Linked DNA regions of Ovis aries. The main gene of each other region encodes a partner of the protein of the gene in region 2 in a complex. Links are inferred from orthologs where the notes say so. Each region holds a gene or a part of one and is shown on either strand. Other genes may lie near its edges. The genes, in order: B9D1, TMEM237, TCTN1, CEP290, TMEM17, TMEM216 and B9D2.

Region 1 (4,015 bases), on a different chromosome or scaffold from region 2:
ACATTCATTAAGTGAGAGTGATCACAGACGACCAGGTACAGTGGACAACAAACCCTGCAGATATTGGCAAGGAGAACTTTGGGAGATCAGAGGTAGGATGAGGGCTCGGTGCCCATGGCAGAGAGAAGGGCCTACCCCTGGCTCAGGGCAGGGTGTTGGAGGAGGAGCAGGGGGGTCGGGACTGGCGGGAGCACAGTGGTGATGGACGGGGGAGAGCTGTTGAGGGGCCAGACTGCTGAGCCCCAGACACCAGGCTCTGACCTTCGCAGGCAGTCACTGCCCAAGGTTTCACGCTGGGCTTCACCGACTTCCTCAGAACCTCGGAAAGGTCAAGTGCACACAGTGGGAAGGAGGGGAAAACAGCCAGGTGTCTGATAGCACCTGACAAGGCTGGTAGAGGGCCCCATGGATGGGCAGGACGAGGCCTGCAGACTCACAGCCGTAAGGGTTGGTGCTCTTAAAGGTGACATCGATGGGGAAGTTCCACACCAGCGCCCGCCTCGCATCTTGGCTCTTGGAGGTGATCTGTGAGATGCCCTCCTCCAGCCCCTGCAAGGACAATGACAGTGACGGCCAGTGTCCCAGCTCCAGGCTGCCATGCCCACCCACCCTACCTCTGAGGTGGCAGCTGAGAGCTGTTTTCATCACCATCTTCTGCCAAACAAAGGGACCTAAGATGTGACAGAGTGGCTCCCAGGTCTTTGAGGGTTTCTATCCATTAGGACCTGAAACCTTGAGGCCCCTCCCCTCTCCCGGTGCCCAAGCTCCACCTGCACCTCCTGCGGAATAGGGTATGGTCCAGCAGGCTGTTGCCCTCTCCCCTGTCTTTCTGCCTGGCTAGTTTATTCTACAGCCTTCTACTTGGCCCATCCCCCTGCTTCCTTCAGCTCTACGCTCAGTTACCATCTTTTTTTTTTTTTTTTTAAACTGTCTTAAGGAGGCCTTTTCTGGCCTCTTCATCCCTCCCCTTCCTGCCTTCACTTTCCCCTCAGCACCGCTACTAGCCAACAGCCTGGAGCGTGAGTCTGTCTCCCTCTCAGGCAAGTGGCCCCAGCAGAGCTGGGCTGGTCTGGCTTTGTTCGCTGCAGGGCAGGGCCCAGGAGCGACCACAGTCTTAGGGGTGGATCAGGGATCTCTGCATTCTCTGCTCCGGCCTCACTGGGAACAAACTCACGTGTGTGCCACCCCTGAACTCTTAACTGGTTCTGAATTGGGAGGGGAAAGGGTGCAATGGAGCCTTCAGAAACCCCTTCAGTCACAAAAGCTGTGAGTCTGGGAGGCTGTAGGGTCCAGCTTACCGCTGTGGGGGCCCAGTCCTGGCCATACACGAAACAGTACTTGCAGTAGAGGTCGTCGTACTCAGGAAACTGTGGAAATAAGCACACACAGCTTCTGCTCACAGGGACTCATGCTGTGACCACCTGTTAGCTAGGCAGGTACAGCCACCAGCAACTCTGAACATGAGGCACCTAGGGGGCGGGGGCTGAGAGAGCAGGGTGCATGGATACGGAGTTCATTGGAAGGTCTGGTCTCAAGATGTGGGATAGTCCAGGGACAGTGCTGCCCCCAGGCTTTTGCTCAGGCTCTGACATCTGTATGACGTGCCCTTCTAATGAGAAGTGAAGGAATGCCTTCACTGGGAGTACTCCTGCTCACCCTTCAAAACTGACACTTTGGGGAGCCTGCCGACTTCCAGGTTGTTGGAGCCACATCCCAGCTTCCACAGCCCCTGGTGCTCCATCACAGCACTGACCATGTTTATTCTCTCAGCTCCATTAGACTGTGAACAAGGGACAGGTATGTGGGCTTTCTGTGTCCCTAGCACCTGGCACAGGGTGGGCACTAAGGAGTGATGCTGAAGTGAAAGGTCTAGAAGACAGGTGCTCCCAGGACACAAAGCTTGGTGGGAGCCAATGGCCTGCAGAGTGGCCTCGAGCAGAGGGGAGGAAGAGTGGGGATGAGGGGCTGCTGAGAACACAGGCACACTGACCCAGCCCAGCTGAGGCCCCTGCTGGGATAAAGCAGAACAGGAGAGGCTGGCCTTAGGCACCAGGCCAAGGGGAGGTGGACAGGGTGGGGGCATGGGGCAGTGACCCTGATGAAACAGGAAGGCGGGAGATGCCCGCTAAGAGATCCCACGGAGCTTTACCTAGACCACCTTGGTTAGTACTCACAATATAATCATAATATTTTTAAAACAGCCTGGAAAGGCAAGTCCAGCAAAGCTTTGACATCAGACAAGGTTTGAAATTCGTTTTGCCACTTCCTTTGGGCAACTTCCCATCTGTAAAATGGGGGTGCAAGTAATACCTACTTCAAATGGTTGTTGTGAGGACTGGCTGAGCGGGGCTGGGCATGAAGACTGTCATATGTCATGTCTTCCAGTAGTAACAAACGGTTCTTAGGACATGCAGGGGACTGGAAAGCACTGTCCCCTTCCGTCGGACAGACACAGCCTCCGGGTCAGGACAGCTGCCACCATCGCTGTGTCAGACCAACCCGCGCCGGAGGGAGGAGCTGAGGGTCGCGGGGTGGATGGAGGCCCCTGCCCGAATCTTCACGTGGGCTCGGCCAACTGTGGCCTCGGCCTGGCTCAACGCTCCAGGCCTTTTTCCCCACCGCACTTCGTGGCGGAGGGTCCGCGCGATCTCTCGCCAAGCCTGTCACGCTAGCTCCCTCCCCCGAGGTTCGACCCTGGAGGACTCACGGCCGCTCACCTGGGCGCTCTCCACCTGCCCGTTGACCATGAGCAGGAACACGCTGGGGCCCGCGGCCGCCATAGCCGGGCCGCGCGGTTACTAGGAGGCGCCGGGTTGCCCTGGAGACGACGGCGTGGCGCACGGGACAAGTTTCATGGAAGCGGGAGCTTCGGGAAAACGCGCACAAGGCGCGGCGCGCAAGCGCAGTCGGAGCGGCGCTGTGCGGTGGGAGGCGGGCCTCAGCCGCCTGGTCCGTCTGAGGGGCGGTCCGCCCGAGGAACCCCGCGTGAATGTAGCTGGTGGTGCGGGACCTAGGCCACCGCCCGGGAATGTGTGTCCGCTCTGACCACCGCGCTGCCGGTTGGAGTGTGTGACTGGAGCCCGAGGCCGCCAAGGGGCGGGGTCCGGCCGCGCTTCCGAGAGTCCCCGTGGGGCCAGCAGCTCCCTGCCTCGGGTCTACAGATGCTCCCTCGTGCCTTTGAGACCCTCGCCTCCCAAAAGTTTATTAGACCAACCGAGAAGGGACCTGGAAGGTCCTTAAGCCCAAGACTGCAGGTCTCCGCGTGACGCGGGAAAACGGGCCTCTGAGTGGCCGCCCCGGCACCTTGCCGGCGGGGAGGGGCGAGCCCGCGGGGCTCGGCCGTCCGCCTGCTCTCAGCGCTCCCCACTGTTCGCTTTTGCACATCGATTACTGTGATAGCTCCAGCCAGTGCCGCCTCTCCCCTGAGCCCTACGCCACGAACACCGGGTCTGGGCCACCCCCGTGTCCCGGTTGCCTGAGCACTGGTGGCAGCTAGTGGAGTGGATGGATAATTGAGTACGTCTGCTGTACTAGCTGCCAACTCTGCTAAGTCGCTTCAGTCGTGTCCGACTCTGTGCGACCCCATAGACGGCAGCCCATCAGGCTCCCCCGTCCCTGGGATTCTCCAGGCAAGAACACTGGAGTGGGTTGCCATTTCCTTCTCCAATGCATGAAAGTGAAAAGTGAAAGTGAAGTCGCTCAATCGTGTCTGACTGGTAGCGACCCCATGGACTGCAGCCTACCAGGCTACCCCGTCCATGGGATTTTCCAGGCAAGAGTACTGGAGTGTGAATACGTCTCCGTTGCTCATTATCAAAGCTATGGTTTTTCCAGTAGTCATGTATGGAGGATGTGAGAGTTGGATCATAAAGAAGGCTGAGTGCTAAAGAATTGATGCTTTTGAAGTATGGTGTTGGAAAAGACTCTTGAGAGTGCCTCGGACAACAAAGAGATCCAACTAGTCCATCCTAAAGGAAATCAGTCCTGAATATTCCTGGAAGGAATGATGCTGAAG
Region 2 (4,135 bases):
CCCCAATATTTTCTGAACCTACATATACGTACTCCCTGTCTATTAATAAAGTGGATTAAACAGATTAAGAACTCTTATGTTGCCACTGATTAAAATCAGCTTAAACTCTGAGGAAACTATTCTCGCAAACAAAAGAGGATCAGAATTCTGATCAACAAGTCATTAAAACATTCAGAACAGACCCAAGATGATAATATGTGGACATTCAGTCTTTGAAACAGAATGTTTAATTACAACTGTTATCTTAATGATTCAAGGATTTTTCATCTTTAAACTTGAGGAAGTCTTTTCTGAATTATTATAATTGTGCAATGGTACTAGTCAAATTTTTTCACTTTATTCATTTTGCATTTTTTAAACTAGATAATAAAATTACTGTAAATTATTTTTACCTTGGCACAGGTGGAAGGGCTCGTGGAGGACGCTATGGGAAAAAGACAGAAAACTGCTTGTAAGTAAAGGCCTAGGAGCATCTTTACTTCATGTATTTCAAATTTTTGATAAACCTGTTCATCAAATGAAACCCAAGAGATACAGATGAGAATCAGATGGGCAATTTTAATTTTTTCTATCACTTCTAAATTTCACATAAAATTCCTTCCTTCCTATATTCCTATCTTCAGGCCAGGCACTGCACTAAGCGTTAGGGATACATTCATTAATAAACAGAACTGAGAGATCCTTGCTTTATGCAAAGTACATCCTAATGGTTAAATATTAGAAGATAACATTAAGCATATATATTTATATATATATGAATGAAGAATGCTGCTTTAGTTAGGAAAAGTCTCTCTGAGGTATTTGAACTGAGACCTGAATAAGAAAGGAGCCAAAGGGGAGCAAATACAAAATTTTTTACTGGAGATTGGACTTGGAGAGTTTCAGATAAAAGAAGGCCAATAAAGGTGAAGCAGGGTTATCAAGGCATGGGCAAACTAATTAGGAAGACCAACAGAAAGAACTTAGATTTTGCTTTAATTCAATGGGAAGCCAATGGAGGTTTTAAATCACAGAGTAAAATACTAACATTTATATAGTAACGTTTTTAAAATGTTACTAACAGGATGAGATGGCTGGATGGCATCACAGACTCGATGGACGTGAGTCTGGGTGAACTCTGGGAGATGGTGATGGATAGGGAGGCCTGGCATGCTGCGATTCATGGGGTCGCAAAGAGTTGGACACGACTGAGCGACTGAACTGAACTGAACTGAACACAACATAGTAACCTTTTAAAAAGTATACTCTGAATACAATGTGAAACACCCAATTTAGGGCAGAAAGAAAAAAATTCTAAATGTACTATAAATTTCCTACTTTACATGAACAAGAAAAGTGTTCAGAACATTAATTGGCTATAGGCCAATATAAAATAACACGTTTTTTAAGAAGTGCTTGTAGGTCACAGAAATTACAGTTAAGCAGCACTCTGGAATCTTTCAAAATAAAACACTAACAAATTTGTCTAGTAATCAGTTTAATATTCCAAGTATCTCAAGCTGCTAGCAGAAGACATTGATTTTGAAGGGTTAAATTTTAAACAACTCATTGCTTGTTCCACAACTGTCCCATTTAGCTATCCATTCGTTCAAAAAGTGTGTTAATAAAAACGCTACAAGACTAAGACATCGCCGGCTGTCTTAGCACTATCCAGTACCCAAAACTGAACTGGCAAAGGATAGGTACTGTTCCATCAGTCTACAAACAGTATTGTTCTAAAGATGCTATGGACCGTGTTCCAACCAAAGATACAGTTCAGACGACAACTCATTTCAAAAGTCCCGCAAAAATGACGTGTCGTTCATCCAAAACTCAACCTCTACGTTCCTCAAAAGTAGAACGGCTCAACTGAACTGAAAGTAACTAAGGCTCGCTTACCACCTGCTTCTTTCCCATTGCGTCTAAAGCTGGGCTCTCCGCCGGCCGCCGGCTCCCGGGCGCGGGTAACTCACACCCCTCCGGGGTTCACACCCGCCTAGTGGACCGCGCGCGCAGGCGCAATGCGTCATCAAGCTGCGCCGCACAGGCCGTTCTGACCCCCAGGCTCGACGCAGCAGGGTGGGAGTGAGCCGGGGCATGGAGACCCTGTGTGGCTTTTCTGGGCTACTCTTACGGGAAAGTGGGGGTTGGAGTCGGAGCCCCGGGAGAGGAGACTCCAGCGGATGCGGAGTAGCAATCACGATTTTTCCCATGGTTTCCCAAGTGGTTGCAGTGATTTGTTCGAGAGAAGTGAGAGAAGACCAGGATTAAAAATCCCTGCTGGCAAACAAATCTCTTTGCTGAGCAGCTAAAATGCTCTCTAGGAGTCGATAAAAAGGGCCTCGCTGGCAGCCCCCGTACCCGCAGGGGCGGGGTCGGAGTGAGTTAGGCGTCGTCATGGCAACACCCTCACTCAGACCCCCGGAAACTTCACGCCTGGCTCTCTGCCAGGCTTTTGGAGTTCGGGTCCGGCCCTGGGAAGAACTTCTAGGCCCCGCTCCCAAACCCTATCCTGTGAGCGCCGAAGGGGCGGATGCGCGAGCTTCCAGACTGGGGTTCGCCCCTTCTTGTCCCCAGCAGATCGGTGTCGGTCCTACCCCAGAGGTAGCGGCCGCGTTAAGGCAGCGGCCGACACGCCCCTCACCGCTCACCCGATGGTCCTCTTCCACCCCGAGCCTGGAGTCGGCCCTCATGGCGCTGTGCCCGCCTGGGCTCCCTCGACGCAACTGCTGCCTGCGGGAGCCTGGTTCCCCGCAACGCTGCAGCCTTCGGGACCAGCGGAGGCGGTGGCTCTGCAGTGCCGGACTAGGCCGCCGCCCCCGGGCCACGTCTCCGCCCGCCTCCGCTTTGGCAGCCTTCGCGTTCCGAGGCTTCAGGGTTGAGACGCAAGCGTTTAGCCACCAGACTTAATGTTTAGGTTCGGGTATGAGTGTGTGTCGAAACAGGCAATTCTCAGATTTTCTCCAGTTGCTTACCCTCCATCCAAAGACGCACGACATAAAATCTGGGCTCACATAAGTGTTAAAAATAAAAACGACAGTTTTCTTCGTTTTGTTTGGTTGGGTTTCTGAGAAAAATAATGCTTGGTCACTTTAAATAAAAAACTACAGATATTTTGAAGCATACACTCAATTTGCTCAATGGTTAAGGAAGAGCAGATGGATGGCACGGATATGGGAAAAGTTAGGGAATGATCCAGTAGTCCTGTATGGATGTGAGAGCTGGACCATAAAAGAAGGCTGAGCACCAAAGAATTGATGGTTTTGAACTGTGATGTTGGAGAAGACTCTTGAAAGTCACTTGGGCTTCAAGGAGCTCAAACCAGTCAGTCCTAAAGTAAATCAATTCATTGGAAGGACTGATGCTGAAGTGGAAGCTCCAATACTTTGGCCACCTGATGACAGGGGCAGACTCATTGGAAAAGACCCTGGGAAAGACTGAAGGCAGGAGAAGGGGGCCACAGAGGATGTAATGGTTGGATGGCATCACTGGCTCAGTGGACAAGAGTTTGAGGAAATTCCAGGAGATAGTGAAGGACAGGGGAACCTGGCTGTCCGTGGGGTCCACATGACTGAGTGACTGAACAACAAGGGAGTGATCCAGAGGGTGAACATATATAAAGGCAGGAAGAGTGACTGGAAGTCTCGAGTTCGTGGAATAACATCCTTATCCCCTTGTTTCTCAGACGTTGGTGTTTAGCACTAAAATTCATTGCTCTTTCCTAATTTAGGCATAAATATAGATACCGGCTTTTGGGGAAATTAATGATTGCTACAGCCCTGATCAAAAGAATAATTTTTCCTTGTAGCTTAATGTGTAAAATGAGAACAGTGCTGTTTCAGTAAGTTTTGATGTTAGAGGTGATTTGTATATTAATCCTTCCTTCTTGCAGTTAAACTGTGTACTTTTTGAAAAATCCATGGTTATAAAACAAGTTTCATAAGGTAAAATACAGTTTCTGAAATTAAATACAACGTATTTTATTTAGGAAAGCTCTTTTTTATCTGAATCACACAAAGGCCACGTGAAATCTATGAAAGGTCCTCATATTCGGTGACTTAACATTGTTCCCTACCAATTGCTGCATATAAGGTAAAGGAAAACATTTTTTCCCCTGAAATCCAAAGAGATAACTCTACATAACCATACAAATTTC
Region 3 (3,500 bases), on a different chromosome or scaffold from region 2:
TCTGACTGCTGAGACAAAAGAAAAAGGTGGGCAGGAGAACCACATGTGATCTGGAACCTATTTGTAGGATGTCAATTTCCATTAAACTCTTCTGGGAACTTTAGAATTGAAAGCTCTCATGGGTGGAGTGCTTTTATAGACCAGGGAACAATGGATAGGACAGCTCTGCAGATGGGAGGAAGTCTTGCTGAAACAGTCCACTTCACCTATCATATCATGATACCTAGAGAAACCTTGCATAACACCAACAAGGGACAGGATGGTGACTGGTAGTGGTCCCCATTTATAGAGAGACCACTAGGCACCATTAATATTACCCGATTTTAACTCTCAACAAGCCCTGAGGGCAGTAATACAGCTATGAGGAAAAAGAGGCTCAAACCGGTAAGATCGCTGGCTAAATCACTGCTAACTAGGGGCAAAATCAGTATTCAAGATCCAGGCCCATCTGATAACAAAGTCCAAACTCCCACCCACAGCCACTCACCCTCTTAACAGGTACCCCCTGCCTCTGTCTCCCCACAGTGAGAGGGGCAGGTGCACACTGGAGACCACTAGCAAGTGGCCTTCAGCTTCTCCCCCTTTACCTTCACATGTGACGTCTGGGTGATGAAATAGACGGGCACCCAGTCCAGCACATCCTGGGCCTGGGAATTTCCAAAAGGGGCCACATAGTCTGGGAAGCCCTGACCCTTTAGGAGGCTCTTCATCTTCTGCGCCACCAGCTGACACGTGAGAGCTTTGGTCAGTCTTTTGGGAAGAAGAATGAGGTCAAATGAGGTGATTGTTCAAACCTACAGTTTTTTCTTAATAAATGTCAAGGTCATGTTTAATTATGACATTTCTCTAGCACAAAAAAGTACTAAAAATAAGAAACAAGGGCATCTGTCTCAGGTATTAGACATCTTTATGTTACATCTGCCAAATACCTCACTTTATTACAGTGTTCAGTTCAGTCGCTCAGTCGTGTCTGACTCTTTGTGACCTCATGAATCACAGCACGCCAGGCCTCCCTGTCCATCACCAACTCCCAGAGTTCACTCAAACTCATGTCCATCGAGTCAGTGATGCCATACAGCCATCTCATCCTCGGTCGTCCCCTTCTCCTCCTGCCCCCAATCCCTCCCAGCATCAGGGTCTTTTCCAATGAGTCAACTCTTCACATGAAGTGGCCAAAGTGCTGGAGTTTCAGCTTCAGCATCAGTCCTTCCAGTGAACACCCAGGACTGATCTCCTTTAGGATGGACTGGTTGGATCTCCTTGCAGTCCAAGGGACTCGCAAGAGTCTTCTCCAACACCACAGTTCAAAAGCATCAATTCTTTGGCGCTCAGCTTTCATCACAGTCCAACTCTCACATCCATACATGACCACTGGAAAAACCATAGCCTTGACTAGAAGACCTTTATTGGCAAAGTAATATCTCTGCTTTTGAAGATGCTATCTAGGTTGGTCATAACTTTCCTTCCAAGGAGTAGGCATCCTTTACTTTCATGGCTGCAGTCACCATCTGCAGTGATTTTGGAGCCCCCAAAAATAAAGTCTGACACTGTTTCCACTGTTTCCCCATCTATTTGCCATGCAGTGATGGGACCAGATGCTATGATCTTAGTTTTCTGAATGTTGAGCTTTAAGCCAACTTTTTCACTCTCCTCTATCACTTTCATCAAGAACAGTGTTAGTACCCATAATATCTCTGATTACAGAATACTGTACCTGCAGTGTTTTTTTTTAATTTTTACATTCCTCAACAATACACATATTCTCTCTAGTTTCTTTTCTCACTCTCCAAAAAGGGGATTATTTGAAGTTAAAGTGTCTCTCACTTTGTGAAATTTTGGTTAGCCAGGGAGATGAATCCAAAACAAAGTTTCCCAAACTATATTCCATGGAGAAGCTCTGTACAAGAAGGGTTCCATGGCCAAACATTTGAGAAATATTACATACCCATGTCCCCGTTGAAGTACACTGACATTACTAAAGACTCTGAGAAGTGCTTACTTAGTAAGGAATCATGTTTTGAACTTTAATTTGGTGTTTCCCAAAATATTAAACCACAGACTTACCCCTGCTGACATTATAGAAATGTATCCCCACAGAACCTCCTTTCAGAAATGCTAATCTAACACGATCAGAATAATGTAAATGGTGAATTCTGGTCTAACCAAAATAATGATGTAGATACCCTGGGGAGATATAAGGATGGGAAGCAAGTCGCTTGTGGGGTAGGGGACCAAAAGAGAAAGAGCCAAATCTTCATCTCCCATAGTGGGAACTCAAATTAATAGTCATAAGAAAATAAACAAGGATTTGCTGTTGCTGCTGCTGCTAAGTTGCTTCAGTCATGTCTGACTCTGTGCGACCCCACTGACGGCAGCCCACCAGGCTCCCCCATCCCTGGGATTCTCCAGGCAAGAACACTGGAGTGGGCTGCCATTGCCTTCTCCAATGCATGAAAGTGGAAAGTGAAAGTGAAGTCGCTCAGTTGTGTCTGACTCTTAGTGACCCCATGGACTGCAGCCTACCAGGCTCCACCATCCATGGGATTTTCTAGGGGTGCCATTGCCTTCTCTGATAATAACCTATAATGGAAAAGAATCTGAAAAGAATATAACTGAATAACTTTGCTTTACACCTGAAACACTATAAATCAACTTTATACCTGAATAAAAAAATAAAAACAAAAGTCATAAAACCAGAAAAATGAAGAAGCATTATATATGGGTTATTTAAAAATTTGGGGACAAATTTTCAAAAACTCAACCATAAGAGCTGAAAGTGATTGCCTCTGGGATTCTGGGATAGGGAAAATGAAGGTTAAGAAGTGCTGTCTTTAGAACAAGCCACACAGAGCTGTTCAACATTTTACATTATGTTTGACAATAAAAAGATAAAACATACAAAGCCTTGATATTTTTACTCTGCCATATCTGATAAGCAAAAAGGGTTTTAACAATTTTCCTTTGAATCATGACAAATAGTTTATGGTTATGAGAATTAAAATTAGAAAACCAGAAACTGCATCATTGTAAAATAAATTATTGTTACTATTGCTGCTACCCAGTAATAATATGCTAATGAGGTTGTCCGCTGATGCAGAGTTTTGATTAAAATGAGAAGGGCTAGATAACTAACAAGGACCTACTGTATAGCACAGGGAATTCTAATCAATACTCTGTAATGACCTACATGGGAAAATTAAAAAGATGGGATATATGTATAACGACTCACTTTGCTGTATACCTGAAACTAACACAACATTGTAAATCAACTATACTCCAATAAAAATTATATATATATATATATAAAGGTACAGTGGGAGAACACAAGGAAAACAATGGGAAGAGTAAGAATGTTTTTGTGGGTTTTTTTATCAATGAAAATAGGCTCCAACAGAAGCAAGTTACTCTCTTACCTGAGTTTACAGCCAGACTGCATGTTGTAACCAAATAATACCGGGGCCCGGATCCCCTCTACTGCTAAGCAGTCTTGCTCAGTTGTG
Region 4 (3,500 bases), on a different chromosome or scaffold from region 2:
GATATAATTTATTAATTTAGATTTTATAAATTAGGAGTTTGAGCTATTAGAATATCTGTTTATAAATAAAATGAGACTCCTCTAAGCCATAGTTTCAGTAGAAATGCTTAGATTGTAGTATCAAAGAATTTTAAACACTCTAGGAAAGTATATATTAATTAAATACTAACTAATTATTCTTAAACATTATAGTGATTAAACAAGTAGTAGGCCTACATTTATTTTTTAATGTAATTTTGTTTTTACTCTTATTTGGAAGGAATTAATGAAAAATAATTATTTTGAAATTAAATTTTATTCTCTAGGCTAGAAACATTTGGGATTTTTATTTATGAAAGTAAAACCAATGTTGCAATTACATACAAACACTAAGGACCCAACAAATACATGAAAGTAAATGAATAAATAAATGTGATTGTTAGTGATATCCATTTCAGCATCTTTTGAAAAATGCTTTATGTTAGGAGTCTACATATTAAAAAAGTCTATAGAAATTCTAAATAAACTTTTCTTTTTGGTACAACCAAGAATAATTTTATATCTTATTTTAGAATGTCCATTAATTTGAATTGAAATCATTAAAATCAGTAGAGAAATTCATTATTTATTAATATAGTATTAACATTTGTATATGTAATTTATAAATATTTAGGTAATCAGTTGGCACACAAAAATAGAAGAACTCCGTCTTCAAGAGCTTAAACTCAATCGAGAATTAGTCAAAGATAAAGAAGAAATAAAATATTTGAATAATATAATTTCTGAATATGAGAACACAATCCGTAGTCTGGAGGAAGAAATTGTGCAACAGAATAAGGTTTCATTTTATATTTATTTTGGTGTTTTGTTGCTAAGATTTTTAATATAACAACATTGCATTGATGACTGCCTTATTTTCCTAATCAAGTATAGCTTCTATTATCATTCTTATAAAATATTGTTTCTTATTTTTTAAACTATTCTAAAAATACATTATTCATTTATTTAGTTGCATTAGTTGTCTTAAAAGGAAGAATTCATAAACAAGTTTATTTGTTAAGTTAATTTTTGTTTCACTATTGGTTATTTGAATTCACCTTTACAAGTTTCTACTGCTGTCACTGAAGGAATAAGGCAGCTTGGTATAGAATAAAGAACAGAAGCTTTGGAGACAGATGCAGTTCACTAAGCAGATGCTTACTTGCCTTAGAAATTTTGTTGTTCCTTCTGCTTAAATTGTTCTTACCTAAGATACCAGTATTACTTCTGCTTTCACTGCCTTCTGATCTTACCTCTAATGTATTACCTTATCAATGAGACCTTCACTAGTTACCCAACACACAACAGTAAATTTTATCATCAAGATTCCTTAAATACGGATTACCTAGTTTCATTTTACTCCATAGCACTCATCGCCCTCGGACATATGACATACTTATTTGTTTACTATCTCCCCCTCAGTAGTATATAACTCCTGTGGTGAAGGGGACTTGGTTTTGTTTATTGCTGTGTTCTCATTGTCTCAAATAGTACTTGCCACATAGACTGTGTCATTAAACATGCTTTGGATGAATGAATGGATGGATGGATAAATGGATGGGTACATGGATGGGTTGAAATCCTGACTCCACACCTGCCTGTCCTTGTGATCTTAGGCAAAAATTACTTAATCTCTGAATTTTCTTCCTTTTTCCTTAAAATGAAAATAATAACAGTGACCTCAAATGGTTGTTGTGAGGATTAAAGAAGAAAAATGTATGTAAAAGTTCTTCTCATAGGCCTGGTGAGTGTCTCTGTGTGTGCATGACCCAACTATCCTTCTTTAGTTTCATGAAGAAAGACAGATGGCCTGGGATCAGAGAGAAGTTGAGCTGGAACGTCAACTAGATGTTTTTGACCGTCAGCAAAATGAAATACTAAGTGAAGCGCAAAAGGTATAAATGATTAATCCTATTTGCTACTCTATAGCAGGACCTATAATGTTAACCAGTAGAAATGTTTTCTAAGGTTGGATGGAATTTTATTTTTATTTTTCTGTTTTTTTTTTAATTGGAGGATAATTGCTTTACAGTGTTGCATTAGTCTCTGGTACACAACAGTGTGAGGCAGCTATCTGTATACATACGTCCCCTCCCTCCTAAGCCTCCCTCCCAGTCGCCACATCCTACCCCTCGAGGTTGTCACAGAGTACTGAGGTCAGCTCCCTGTGCCATACAGTAGTTTACCAGCATCTATCTATTTTACATGCGGTAGTATTTATACTCTTTCAATTCGTTCCACCCTCTCCTTCCCCTGCTGTGTCCACAGGTTCGTCCTCTACATCTGTGTCTCTATTCCTGACCTGCAGATAGGTTCATCAGTACCATTTTTCTAGCTTCCATGTATATGTGTTAATATACGATATGTGTTTTTCTCTTTCTGGCTTACTTCACTGTATGACAGACTGTAGGGGTCATCCACATGACTACAAATGACCCAATTTTCTTCTTTTTTATGGCTGAGTTGGAATTTTAATTGATGATATCTTTTTATGTGTCAACTATAAGTGAAATTTAACCATGTCTTGTCATATAGTTGTAAAAATTAATATTGTTATTTCCAATGTTGCAACTGCTCTTCTTTAAAAAAAAAATCTATTTCTCAATAGTTTGAAGAGGCTACAGGATCAATGCCAGACCCTAGTTTGCCCATTCCAAATCAACTTGAGATTGCTCTAAGAAAAATTAAGGAAAATATCAGAATAATCCTAGAAACCCAAGCAACTTGCAGATCACTGGAAGAGGTAATTAGAAGAATTTGCATATTGTTGTTGTTCAGTTGGCAAGTCTGACCCTGTCTGACTCTTTGTGACCTCATGGACTGTAGCATGCCAGGCTTCCTGGCCCCTCACCATCTCCTAGAGTTTGCTCAAGTTCATGTCCATTTCATTGGTGATGTCATCCAACCATCTTATCCTCTGTTGCCCTCTTCTCCTTGCATTTTGATAAGTATATTATTGGGTATACTTCTGGAATTTTATAAGTAATATTTTTAAATGAGGATGAAGCATAAAATGATGAATCTGTTGCTTATTCTACTCTACTTTTCTTTAGTCTTTGTTTTGCCAATAAAGAACAGTAGGTATGGCTAATTTGAAATCACTCTTCTTTTAGTCATTACTTATCACTTTTGGGCACACTCATCAGTTGCTAGCATGAAAGGAAACCAAAAGAGCATTTGACTGTAGCTTTATGAGCAATGTGTTTCCCTCCCTTCAATGATCAAGAATTGTTTTCATCCTTGTTTATTTTTATATTTTATTTTGAAGCATATGTTCTAAACTCTGGATCAATTTTTAGTTTACTTCTTTTCGTGGGTGGTTAAAGGGCTTGAAGGTAAACTAGGAGTTGTTTCTTAGTTTAATCTAGGTCTTAAATTTGGTTAATAGATGGTCAGATCTCTCTTTATTAAATTATACAGAAAATAGTATAAACTGAATATATTTAGATGTCAACTAAAATGAAAATCATATTACTATAAAT
Region 5 (2,947 bases), on a different chromosome or scaffold from region 2:
AAATACAGATTGCCTAAACTCCAAATGTGCTGACATGGAAATGTCTTTCCTATCTCAATTTTCCTATGCATACATAGAGCACCATGTATATACACCAAATAGAAAATGTTGGTTCAGACTAACACAAAATCATGGTTCTATTGTTTTATGAAAAACCAATGACTTGATCATGTTCTCAATTGATTTTCTTAGTTTCTTTTTTCTTACCCTCATTATATCTACATTTTAAGCAATAATTATTAGAACAAAAACTTTTAAAATTTTTATAAACATATATTCCCCCATTTAACCATTAAACTTTTTTTATTGTTATTCTTTATACTTTTAGTGATTTACCTTAAAGTTTAAATGTATCAAGAGGCTCTGCTATTTAAAATAAAACTCTGGAAATGATTGTTAAATAGAAAAGTCTTTCTTGATCATCACCTTAATTTATCTGTTATGTAGATTTAGTGTTCTTATTTTATATTTTCTTATAAACTCATCTATCTGGAAAAAAATGTGAACAAATACATTTTATTAAACTATTCAAACAGAATTCTATTTTGAATTTCAAAGTATTGGAATATACCTAGTGACAGCTTTGGTATAGGGCAAAGGTTAATTAGTTAGTGTACAGGGGAAGAAAACTTTGACTGAACATTATATATAATAATAAAAAGCAGAAATAATAAAAAGAGCATAAACAGAATAGTAAGGTGTGATTAACAGTGGGAAGTGAAAACATTTTCAAAATTAAGCAACATAAAAATGAATAAGGCATAATGTGGAAATCCTAAGATAAGCATGAATCACAAAACAGGAAGGATAGAAAAAATGATTTTTAATGTAGCTACAACTATCTCTCAATAAAATACAATACTTTAGGAAAGAAAATATTGTATCTCTTAAGACAACCCAATTATCACTTAAAATTAATGGTTCAGATATACCCAAGCAAGCTTTGTTCTTAACAGAATTTCCTTAAATAGGTTTCTCCTATTAGCAAGGGAATATGCTCATTTATGATCATGAGTCCTTTGGGCCATCCAAACTCTATATATTAACAGGCACCCTGATTATCAGATCAATCTTCATGTGAATTTACTGGGTATGAGCAGTTCTTCAGTGAATAATGACTTAATAGATAAGATCATAAGGGTTAATGTACCCAGGACAGTGGCAAATTACATAGAAGGCTCTCAAATACATGTACTTTTCTCTTTTAACTTTATAATAAAAATAAACCCACAGCCCAAAAGAACTGTAAAAGACAAGAATGATTTCTAAAGATAGCTCAACATAAATATTTTATAACTTATTGTGAAGACATTTTGCACACCACCACCATAAATACTGAACATGGCTGTATGAAAATAACAATTTTAGGATAAAAACATTTCCTAAATATCATCACAATCTACCTGCTTTCTTCTTAACCTCAGTATAATAGCTAAGACCCTAGCAGACATGAAAATTTGGTGTCTGTTTACAAATGTAGTCTAATACATCAGAATACTGACCAGCATCTCCACATACTTCATACGTACTGCCAAGACATGGATAGGCCAACAATAGTGAAAGAAATATACACATTTCTAGTTACAGGTACTAACTGGAGATATTACAGTAAAGATGTAACGCCACCAATATAGATCTCTACACACCTGAAAACATTGACAACAACAAAAAATTTAAGATATTTGACATCAGGTAGACAACATGCAGGCTTTAGGGTTGATTTACTGCTTTCACGTGCTGTACAGTCTTATCATTGTGTCCAGCCTTGGAATTTCAGAGCCAGGGAGGATACAGTTCAAAACACTTGCTTTGTCCCTTTTATTGTGTTAGCCCTCTGGTGTTTTCCTGCAGTCTTCTAGAATGATCCTCCAGATGCTTATTCAACAGCACTGGGTCAAATCTCTTCTATACAGGACCTCACTCTTCTCATGTCTCCTCGGCTCGCAGACAGCCGGTCAAAGTCTTGGAGGTGGAAACGAGTTGCCAGCTGATTTACCATTTTCCTCAAGGTAAGAAATGCTGAAACAACTTGGAAAGTAAGGAATATAGTGAAGATGATATGTACTGCTTTCTCCAAGGGCAGATTTGTTAGGCCCTCATTGAAGAGCAAGAAAAGAATTAAAGGCAACTGCAACAGAAGGCTCAGAAGCCAGAAGCCAGCCAACTCAGGAACCTGCAATGATACACACGACAAACATCAGACCAGTGAAGTACCATCTTCTGCTTGTGCTGAAGCAAGTGATACTACTGTGAACCTACATTTTGAGCTCTGTAATTCAAAATAAGTATAGTGTGGTCCTTATCCTCAGGGAACTTACAGTCTAGACTGAAAGAGGAAACTACCTTATGTGACAGTCCTACATTACTACACTTAAGTGAATAATGAAACGTACGTACCACTTAGAGTAATAGACTAAATGCTCTAACAGAGTAAACAGGGTAGGTAAAAGAAATAATTCAAGGAGGTAGGCTTTTAAAGTTAGATAGAATGAGGAAGCGGAGAAGGCAATGGCACCCCACTCCAGTTCTCTTGCCTGGAAAACTCCACGGACAGAGGAGCCTGGAAGGCTGAAGTCCATGGGGTCACTGAGGGTCGGACATGACTGAGCGACTTCACTTTCATGCATTGGAGAAGGAAATGGCAACCCACTCTAGTGTTCTTGCCTGGAGAATCCCAGGGACAGGGGAGCCTGGTGGGCTGCCACCTATGGGGCTGCACAGAGCTGGACACGACTGAAGTGACTTAGCAGCAGTAGCAGCAGCAGAATGAGGAAAAGGCAAGAACTTAAATAAGCAAAAATGTGGAAAGAATATGACTGGGAAACAACACATCAGCCTGGAATGGATGTCTGTGTTAGGAAAAAGCACAAAATACAGTGGGATAGGCTGGGTGGGGCTTAATTATGAAGGGCCTGGAAGAACACTGAAATCTTTAGGCATTATCACT
Region 6 (4,175 bases), on a different chromosome or scaffold from region 2:
AAAAGACCTCATGATTCACCCTCTAGAGAAAGCCATTATTACAGAATGAGGCATACTGTTTCAGACATTTTTTATGTGTATAGTCACGTGTTATTATTTTCATTATTGTAAAAGTAGAATCATACTCTGCATACCGTTTGGCAACTTATTTAACCATTTAACATGGTTAGACGTCTTTCCACATTAACTACCTTTTACTCTATCGTAACTCTTTCCACACCTAACTACCTTTTTTAATGGCTATGAACAATTCATTGAACCAATATCATAATTTAACTAGTCCTGTATTGATAGGTGTTAGGTTGTTTCTAAGGTTTTGATGTCAAAAAATACATGGCAATACATCCTCATACAGATATACTTGTGTATCTGTAGAAGTGTGTTTTTTTCAGCCAGTTTTAGAAGGGAAATTGTTAATGTCTAAGAATATACATTTTACCTGGTAAAACCATTAGCAAAAAAGGTTATACTAATTTCTATTCCCAGGGGTGTGGGAATATAAATACTCACATGAGTGTGAGACCATACATACTGTTTCTTGCGGTTATTTGAATACGGGGCATTTGGGAATCTTTTTAATCCGATGGGTGAATATGTTACCGTGTTTTTCCAGTTTGCTTTTTGTTCGTGAGTTTGAGCATTTTATCATGGTTACTGGTCCTTTGTAATTATTCTTATGTGAACTGCCCATTAGGGTCGCTTGCTAATTTTTTTTTTTTTCGCTGTGCAGCATGCAGAATCTTAGTTCCCCAACCACAGATCAAACCCCTACCCCCTGAGTTGGAAGCTTGAAATCTTAACCACTGGACAGCCAGGGAATTCCCTCCCTTGCTCATTTTTAAAACTAGCTTTTTTCTTAGCATTTTATGTGAGCTTTCTTTATCCACTGTGATATGTACTTAAAGTATGTTTTTTTTCTTCAGTGTGTTTAAAGAACATTTTCAGGGATGACATATTCTAACTAAAAAGGGCTTGCTCTGTACTTCCAGGAATACAAAACTTGTCCTAGAGAAATCCTTGTTCAGAAAAATGAAGGGGATCTTAGTGCTGACCTGTGCAGGCATCTCCTGCCCCAGACATGGAGTTACAGCTGAATCTATTCTCCCAAGCAAACCAGTGAGAGGAACAAGGCACTCTTGTAACAGTTAGACAACTGGGAAGAAATTGTCTAATATCATGCCACTGCCCACTTCTGGCCCTGCCGGGCAACAGACAGATACATCTTGACCCAAAATATGAAGCAGCTTGAAACTTCAGAGAGGGAGTAATGGGATATACCACCAGATCCAATCTCTTGATTGGTGAGCCTAGGTTATGTACTTTTCCTTGTTGATCAGGTTACGGATACCAGCTCATCTCAGAAAGAATGGAAATATTCTTGGACAAACACTCACCAAAAAATAGTCGGATTATTTCAATTCCGAGATACAGGAAGAGCATCGCCACATCCAGGACTAGATTGGCTGTTGGGTACGGGAGCAGGAGACCTGCCAACACAGAAGTCAGAGCCTGAAAACAACACAGAGCAGTGCGCAGGAGAGCCCCACACGCGCGAGTCTCATCAGCTGTCCATGAGCTACTTAGTGAGGTGTGGGCAGCATCTGTTAACCTGATGCAGGATGTGTTAACTCCTTGTTGTGGCTGCATCTCTTTTAGAGGCAGGCATGTTGTTATCGGGTTTTACTCATAACTCGGACAGTCTATGAGGACTCCACCCTCCACCATTATCAGCTGTACATGGGTACACAGACCGCTGAATAGCTTCCGAGGCTCATCAACAGGCTGAAAGTGGAGTTCAGCAAGAGGTGATGGGGGAGAGTTGGAATGAAGAATCCCACATTTCCCAAACTCAACAAACTCTTGCCCAGGAGCTTCCTACTAAATCATTCTCAAGAAGTCAGCTGATGAAGAGACTTCTACCTTACAGTGAAGAGGTTCCCTAGAGGGCAGAAAAGAATGAAAAATAGGAAGGTTTTTGGTGGGAGTTGGCTCTGCCCTGAAGTGGGGAAGGGATGTGGGCAAGGGTAGTCAATCCCCAGGCCTTACCTTTATACAGAAATATGAAGAGTTCCAGCAGGAAATAGGTAGCATAATACCACCCATTCAGAAAGAAAAGAATTTCCAGCGGGGTGGAGGACAATCGTTTACCTGAAAATGTGAGCACAGAGAAAAAGAGATGGGCTGGAGGGCAGCTCAACCTCAGTTATTTCAATGGTTTTGTGTCTAACGAAGGAAAAGTGAGGTCGCAGCTAATGGAAAGGGCTACTTGGGGCACTTCTGATTGCTGATGAGGAGAGAGAAAAAGAGAGAGAGTGTGTGTGTAGGGTGTCTGTGTGTGTAGGGTTTCTCTCTGTGTGTAGAGTGTCCCCTAAACTTGACTCCGGGCTTCGGGCGCGAAAGTCAAAGCCCCTTTAAGATCTAACCTCGTCACTATTTGGGAAGGGAAAATGGGGTGCAGAGGCCAGCACTGGCTTGTTTGAAGTCACACTGCAAATTTGTAACTGAGCTGGCCTAGAACAGACCTGGCCAAGAATTTGAGGGAATCTAAGACCCGCACCTCGAGACCTTCAGGAACTCAGGGAGGGTGAAGCTGCTAGACCCTGCTTTGGACAAGCGAGAAGTGATGTCCATAACACCCGAGAATAGAGGGTTTATAAAAGTCGAGCAATGGGAGAGAAAGGAATGGAATATAGAAGCGATCAGGACCAGCGACTCACACACCTCCGTAATCTCACCTCGCGGCGCCATCTCCAGTCCCCATGGAAACTGCATACGCGGCTACCTCTACTTCTGGAGCAACGAGGCGTTGCCGGAAGCGGGGGACAGAGCGGCCCGAGACTCTGGCCTCTCTGCCCGCCCATCACACTCTATGGTTGCCTGGTGCGAAGGCCGTCTTGGTGCGTCCGCCGGTGCGCGCAAATGGCCTTCACTGGGGTTCTGTCTGGAGACCTTCGACAGCACAGGGGCCACCCCCCGAGCTGGAGTCCGTAGGCCCCTAGGGCTGGGAGCAGCTGTTGGGCTTCCCCACCCAAAGTTTACAATGAATCTGCAGAAGTAGCCAGTAGTGGTAATGTGACCACAGGATTGCCAAATAGGCTGTAGCGCCACGATTCTCTTCACTAACGGTCTGACAATACACGAAAAAAGAACAGTGAAAGTGTAGTCGCTCAGTCGTGTCCGACTCTTTGTGATCCTATCGACTGCATATAGCTGCCAAGCTCCTCAGTCCATGGGATTTTCCAGGCAAGAATACTGGAGTGGATTGCCATTTCCTTCTCCAGGGGATCTTCAGGACCCAGGGATCGAACTCAGACCTCCGGCATTGAGGGCAGGCTCTTTATCATCTGAGCCACGAGGGAATCCCAAACAACGGTCTGATAATGCACAAAAGTGCTCTGCAAATGCGGTTTGGCGTTTGGGGTCTTTTGTCTAGCAAGCAGTCTTTTCTGGGAGGGTAATAGGGGATTTAGTGCGTCCGATTTATCAAACAGGTACTTAGAAGACACCAGAATTAATCAGAACTAGAGGCTCCTTTGGCAACCCACTCCAGTATTCTTGCCTGGGAAATCTCATGGACAGAGGAGCCTGGCGGGCTAGACAACCCTGGGATTGCAGAGACTTCACTGAGCGACTGAGCAGGCAGGCAGAGGATCCTCTCGAGGAGCATAAAGAAGACCGGGAAGATGAAACATGATCACCACGTGACCCCTGACTTGCATGGGAGTTGGGAAGACAAAGTACTCTAGGTGGGAACTGAGAGAAGTTTTCAAGAGATGACTGGTGAACTGGGCTTTGAAACCTGATTATGGTTTGGAGCAGTTAGCATGTGTTACGGCCCACAGGGAAGCAGAAAGAAGAGTTTTGATTGGACTGAGGCTGACTTGACTGTCAGCCACTGTCAGGATAGGACAGAAAACATGGCACACTCAAACCAGGTAATTTGAGTAGAGTGACTCAAGTGTACAATTCAGTGGCATTAATTATATTCACAATGTTGGGTAACCATCACCACCATTTTCAAAGCTTTTTTCATCATGGCAATGAGAAACTCTGTAACCATTTAACAGTAACTCTTTTCTCCCCGTCCCTCTGCTGCTGCTGCTGCTAAGTCGCTTCAGTCATGTCCCACTCTGTGCGACCCCATAGACGGCAGCCCACCAGGCTCCCCCCCCCCC
Region 7 (2,662 bases), on a different chromosome or scaffold from region 2:
TCCGCATCTTGCGTGGGCGGGCTCCAAGGGGGGTCCCTTAAGCCCGGGGGGAGGGGGCGGACACCCGGCTCCGCCCCACCAACAGGGTGCTGCCTCCTGGCGGTCGAGCGCTACCGAAGCGGGCGGCAGTGATGCTTGTGGGTTTGAGGACTGGGCCGGGGGTCAGCGAGAGCATAAAGACCTACGTAGTGCGGAAGGCTCAGAGAATGGGGACCCAGGATACAGGGACTTCGAGGTGGACTGCCCTGAGTGGAGAGTGGGAAACCGGGGCAGAGGGGAAGAGGGTCAGCCAGAAACTAAGGAGCCACTGGGGAAAGGGGCACGGGGCGGGGGGAACCTCCAACGAGTGGGGGCCCTTAAGAGCATCACCCAGAGTGGAGAAGGGGGTCAGACGCTGAGGCAGAGGGCAAGGGAAGGGGGCTTGAGGAGGGTAACAGTAGGAGGAATCCCCCCACCCCCGGCCCACGTCTGACAGATGAAGGTCAAAAAAGCACCCACACTTGAAAAGCACTACATCTTTATTGAGCCCTTCCACGTGCCAGCAGCTTCTCTGCACCCAACCCCTGTGAGCCCACACACCTACTAGCCCATTTTACAGATGGGAAAACTGGACCTGGGAGGGGTAGCCACTGGGCTTGAGGTGCTAGTCAGGTTAGAAGCTGCACCAGCCTTGGCTGGGTCTGGCCTCACAGTCTCCAAAGCCCATGCTTCTGACCACTGCACCATCCTGCCCCTTATGGGGTGTCCCAAGACATGGCTGGGGGCCAGCCATTCTTATAGGCTCCTTCAGCATTCAACCCCATACCGATCAAAGTGGCGCAGCAGCAGGCTCAGCTCAAGGTGCACAGTGCCCCCGGAGGTGGTGTGCAGGCGATAGCGGTCAGCCCCACTGTAGATGGCATCTCCATGCAGCAGCTGAGGCCCGCCGCCCACGAAGGCCCTCGCCAGCTGCTCTCGCCAGCTGCCCAGGGGCCGCCACGTGGGGCAGTCCAGCTGGTGGGTGCCTGGACTGCTGGGCACATGGCAAAAGCCATAGCCTGCAAGCTGGCAGCGGCCGAAGCTGTCCTGGGACCACACCTGGAGATGGAGCCGGGGCCAGCCTGCAGGATAGGGGGGAGGGTGGAAAGGTGAAGGGGTACAGTCCAGCCTCTTACTCCTGAAGACCCCCTGCCAGGTTTCTGCCCCACCCTCCTCCTCTGGACCACCACAGAGCAGCCAAAGGGATCTTTCTGAATCCAGGTTCTTCCTCGGCTCAAAACCCTTCCATGATTCCCTAATGCTCTCAGTATAAAGTCCAACCTCAACATTCTAGACCCTTGAGGTCTGGCCTCTGTTGAATTCTCTGTTGGCCTTCTCCTCTGTGTCCACATATCTGGGGAGCCCAGTCCCCAGGTGAGGGTGGTGGGCCTGGTCCTGGATGCCTCCTTCCTTCCCTCCCCATGGCCACACCCTGTCCTCTTTCCTGGCCTCGGGGCCTTCTTTCTTGCCTTCATCATCTTTCACCTGGCAGCTGGAAGCATCTTTCTCCCCTTTCCATAGATTTCTCAGTTCCTCACTCAAGATACAGTTCAGCTCCTCACCCTATAGGCAAAGTGCTTGGGAGATCCAGCCCCATTTCACCCTCCTTTTTGAGTCTCTCTGAGCTTGGCCCTGTTCTAGAAGCTGGGGATACAGCAGTGAACAGGGCAGACAAAAATTTCTGCCCTTGTGCAGCTGACATCTTAGACAACCAACACAGTAAATACGCAAATTATAGGGTATGTCAGATGGTGATAACTGCTCTGGAGAAAAATAAGCTGGGTAGGGTGGGAGTAGGTAGGCATGCAGTTTTAGAAGGCGGTGATCAAGAAAAAATTTACTGAGGTGACATCGGAGGCAGTGCTTAAAGGAGGGAAGAGACTGGGGGCTATATGGCTATCTAGGAAAGAGTGCTCCCAGCAGAGGGGACAGCTAGTGCAAAGGCCCTAAGGTGGGAGCTGCCTGGTGGGACTGATGTGGCTGGAGCAGACGGGGAAGGGGAGACAGAACCAGATCAAGCAGGGCCCTGTCCTTCCACGGTAAGGCTTTGCCTTTTACCTTGAGTGATGTGGGGACCACAGAGGGTCCTAAGCAGAGGAGGAATGTGGCCTGACTTAGGTGTTCACAGGAGGGACACCTCAGTAAAGACTCTATGGTAACAGCCTAGTGAGAGGTGATGGGGGTCGGGGGAGTGATGACATTCAGGATGCATTCCAAAGGGGGAGCTAATGGGATTTCCTAATAGAATGAGAAAAGAAACAGCAAGGATATTTGGGATCCTTAAGAGCTGAAAGGACTGTGGCCTGCCTCACCTTCCAATCCGTCACCTGTGAGACAGCCAGAGGGATCTTTTTTTTAACTGCAATCTTTTTTTTTTTTTTCAAGTTTATTTATTTGTTTGGCTGAGTCAGGTCTCAGTTGTGGCACATGGGATTTCTGTTGTGGCACTAGGGCTCCAGAGCCCATAGGCTCAGTAGTCACGGGGACCCAGCTGCCCCACAGCATGTGAGATCTTAGTTCCCTGACCAGGGATAGAACCTATCTCCCCTGCATTGGAAGATGGATCCTCAACCCCTGGACCACCAGGGAAGTCCCCAGAGGGATCTTTTAAAAGCAAAATCTGACTTGTCAATCACCTGTTCTG

What was found.
Region 1: TMEM237 (region 2) and B9D1 share a complex: the UniProt entries of both Homo sapiens proteins name them as parts of the tectonic-like complex. The link is inferred for Ovis aries from reciprocal best matches to the Homo sapiens genes TMEM237 and B9D1.
Region 3: TMEM237 (region 2) and TCTN1 share a complex: the UniProt entries of both Homo sapiens proteins name them as parts of the tectonic-like complex. The link is inferred for Ovis aries from reciprocal best matches to the Homo sapiens genes TMEM237 and TCTN1.
Region 4: TMEM237 (region 2) and CEP290 share a complex: the UniProt entries of both Homo sapiens proteins name them as parts of the tectonic-like complex. The link is inferred for Ovis aries from reciprocal best matches to the Homo sapiens genes TMEM237 and CEP290.
Region 5: TMEM237 (region 2) and TMEM17 share a complex: the UniProt entries of both Homo sapiens proteins name them as parts of the tectonic-like complex. The link is inferred for Ovis aries from reciprocal best matches to the Homo sapiens genes TMEM237 and TMEM17.
Region 6: TMEM237 (region 2) and TMEM216 share a complex: the UniProt entries of both Homo sapiens proteins name them as parts of the tectonic-like complex. The link is inferred for Ovis aries from reciprocal best matches to the Homo sapiens genes TMEM237 and TMEM216.
Region 7: TMEM237 (region 2) and B9D2 share a complex: the UniProt entries of both Homo sapiens proteins name them as parts of the tectonic-like complex. The link is inferred for Ovis aries from reciprocal best matches to the Homo sapiens genes TMEM237 and B9D2.

The regions. Positions count from the first base shown.
Region 1 is NC_056064.1:33,860,280-33,864,294, reverse strand, and holds the start of B9D1 (B9 domain-containing protein 1), read right to left. Parts: upstream 2,801-4,015; 5' UTR 2,781-2,800; coding exon 2,718-2,780; intron 1,368-2,717; coding exon 1,299-1,367; intron 550-1,298; coding exon 438-549; intron 1-437. UniProt on the Homo sapiens protein: Component of the tectonic-like complex, a complex localized at the transition zone of primary cilia and acting as a barrier that prevents diffusion of transmembrane proteins between the cilia and plasma membranes.
Region 2 is NC_056055.1:203,963,049-203,967,183, forward strand, and holds the start of TMEM237 (transmembrane protein 237), read right to left. Parts: upstream 2,801-4,135; 5' UTR 2,673-2,800; coding exon 2,631-2,672; intron 1,981-2,630; exon of another isoform or gene 1,897-1,980; coding exon of another isoform or gene 1,879-1,896; intron 425-1,878; coding exon 393-424; intron 1-392. UniProt on the Homo sapiens protein: Component of the transition zone in primary cilia. Required for ciliogenesis.
Region 3 is NC_056070.1:54,531,250-54,534,749, reverse strand, and holds part of TCTN1 (tectonic-1), read right to left. Parts: coding exon 3,414-3,500; intron 751-3,413; coding exon 588-750; intron 1-587. UniProt on the Homo sapiens protein: Component of the tectonic-like complex, a complex localized at the transition zone of primary cilia and acting as a barrier that prevents diffusion of transmembrane proteins between the cilia and plasma membranes.
Region 4 is NC_056056.1:124,381,201-124,384,700, reverse strand, and holds part of CEP290 (centrosomal protein of 290 kDa), read left to right. Parts: intron 1-652; coding exon 653-817; intron 818-1,805; coding exon 1,806-1,913; intron 1,914-2,626; coding exon 2,627-2,761; intron 2,762-3,500. UniProt on the Homo sapiens protein: Involved in early and late steps in cilia formation. Its association with CCP110 is required for inhibition of primary cilia formation by CCP110.
Region 5 is NC_056056.1:45,739,197-45,742,143, reverse strand, and holds the end of TMEM17 (transmembrane protein 17), read right to left. Parts: intron 2,174-2,947; coding exon 1,895-2,173; 3' UTR 501-1,894; downstream 1-500. UniProt on the Homo sapiens protein: Transmembrane component of the tectonic-like complex, a complex localized at the transition zone of primary cilia and acting as a barrier that prevents diffusion of transmembrane proteins between the cilia and plasma membranes.
Region 6 is NC_056074.1:36,444,880-36,449,054, reverse strand, and holds the start of TMEM216 (transmembrane protein 216), read right to left. Parts: upstream 2,801-4,175; 5' UTR 2,773-2,800; coding exon 2,736-2,772; exon of another isoform or gene 2,722-2,735; intron 2,149-2,721; coding exon 2,047-2,148; intron 1,940-2,046; exon of another isoform or gene 1,921-1,939; intron 1,914-1,920; exon of another isoform or gene 1,752-1,913; intron 1,746-1,751; exon of another isoform or gene 1,610-1,745; intron 1,488-1,609; coding exon 1,395-1,487; intron 1-1,394. UniProt on the Homo sapiens protein: Part of the tectonic-like complex which is required for tissue-specific ciliogenesis and may regulate ciliary membrane composition.
Region 7 is NC_056067.1:50,063,066-50,065,727, forward strand, and holds the end of B9D2 (B9 domain-containing protein 2), read right to left. Parts: intron 1,101-2,662; coding exon 787-1,100; 3' UTR 501-786; downstream 1-500. UniProt on the Homo sapiens protein: Component of the tectonic-like complex, a complex localized at the transition zone of primary cilia and acting as a barrier that prevents diffusion of transmembrane proteins between the cilia and plasma membranes.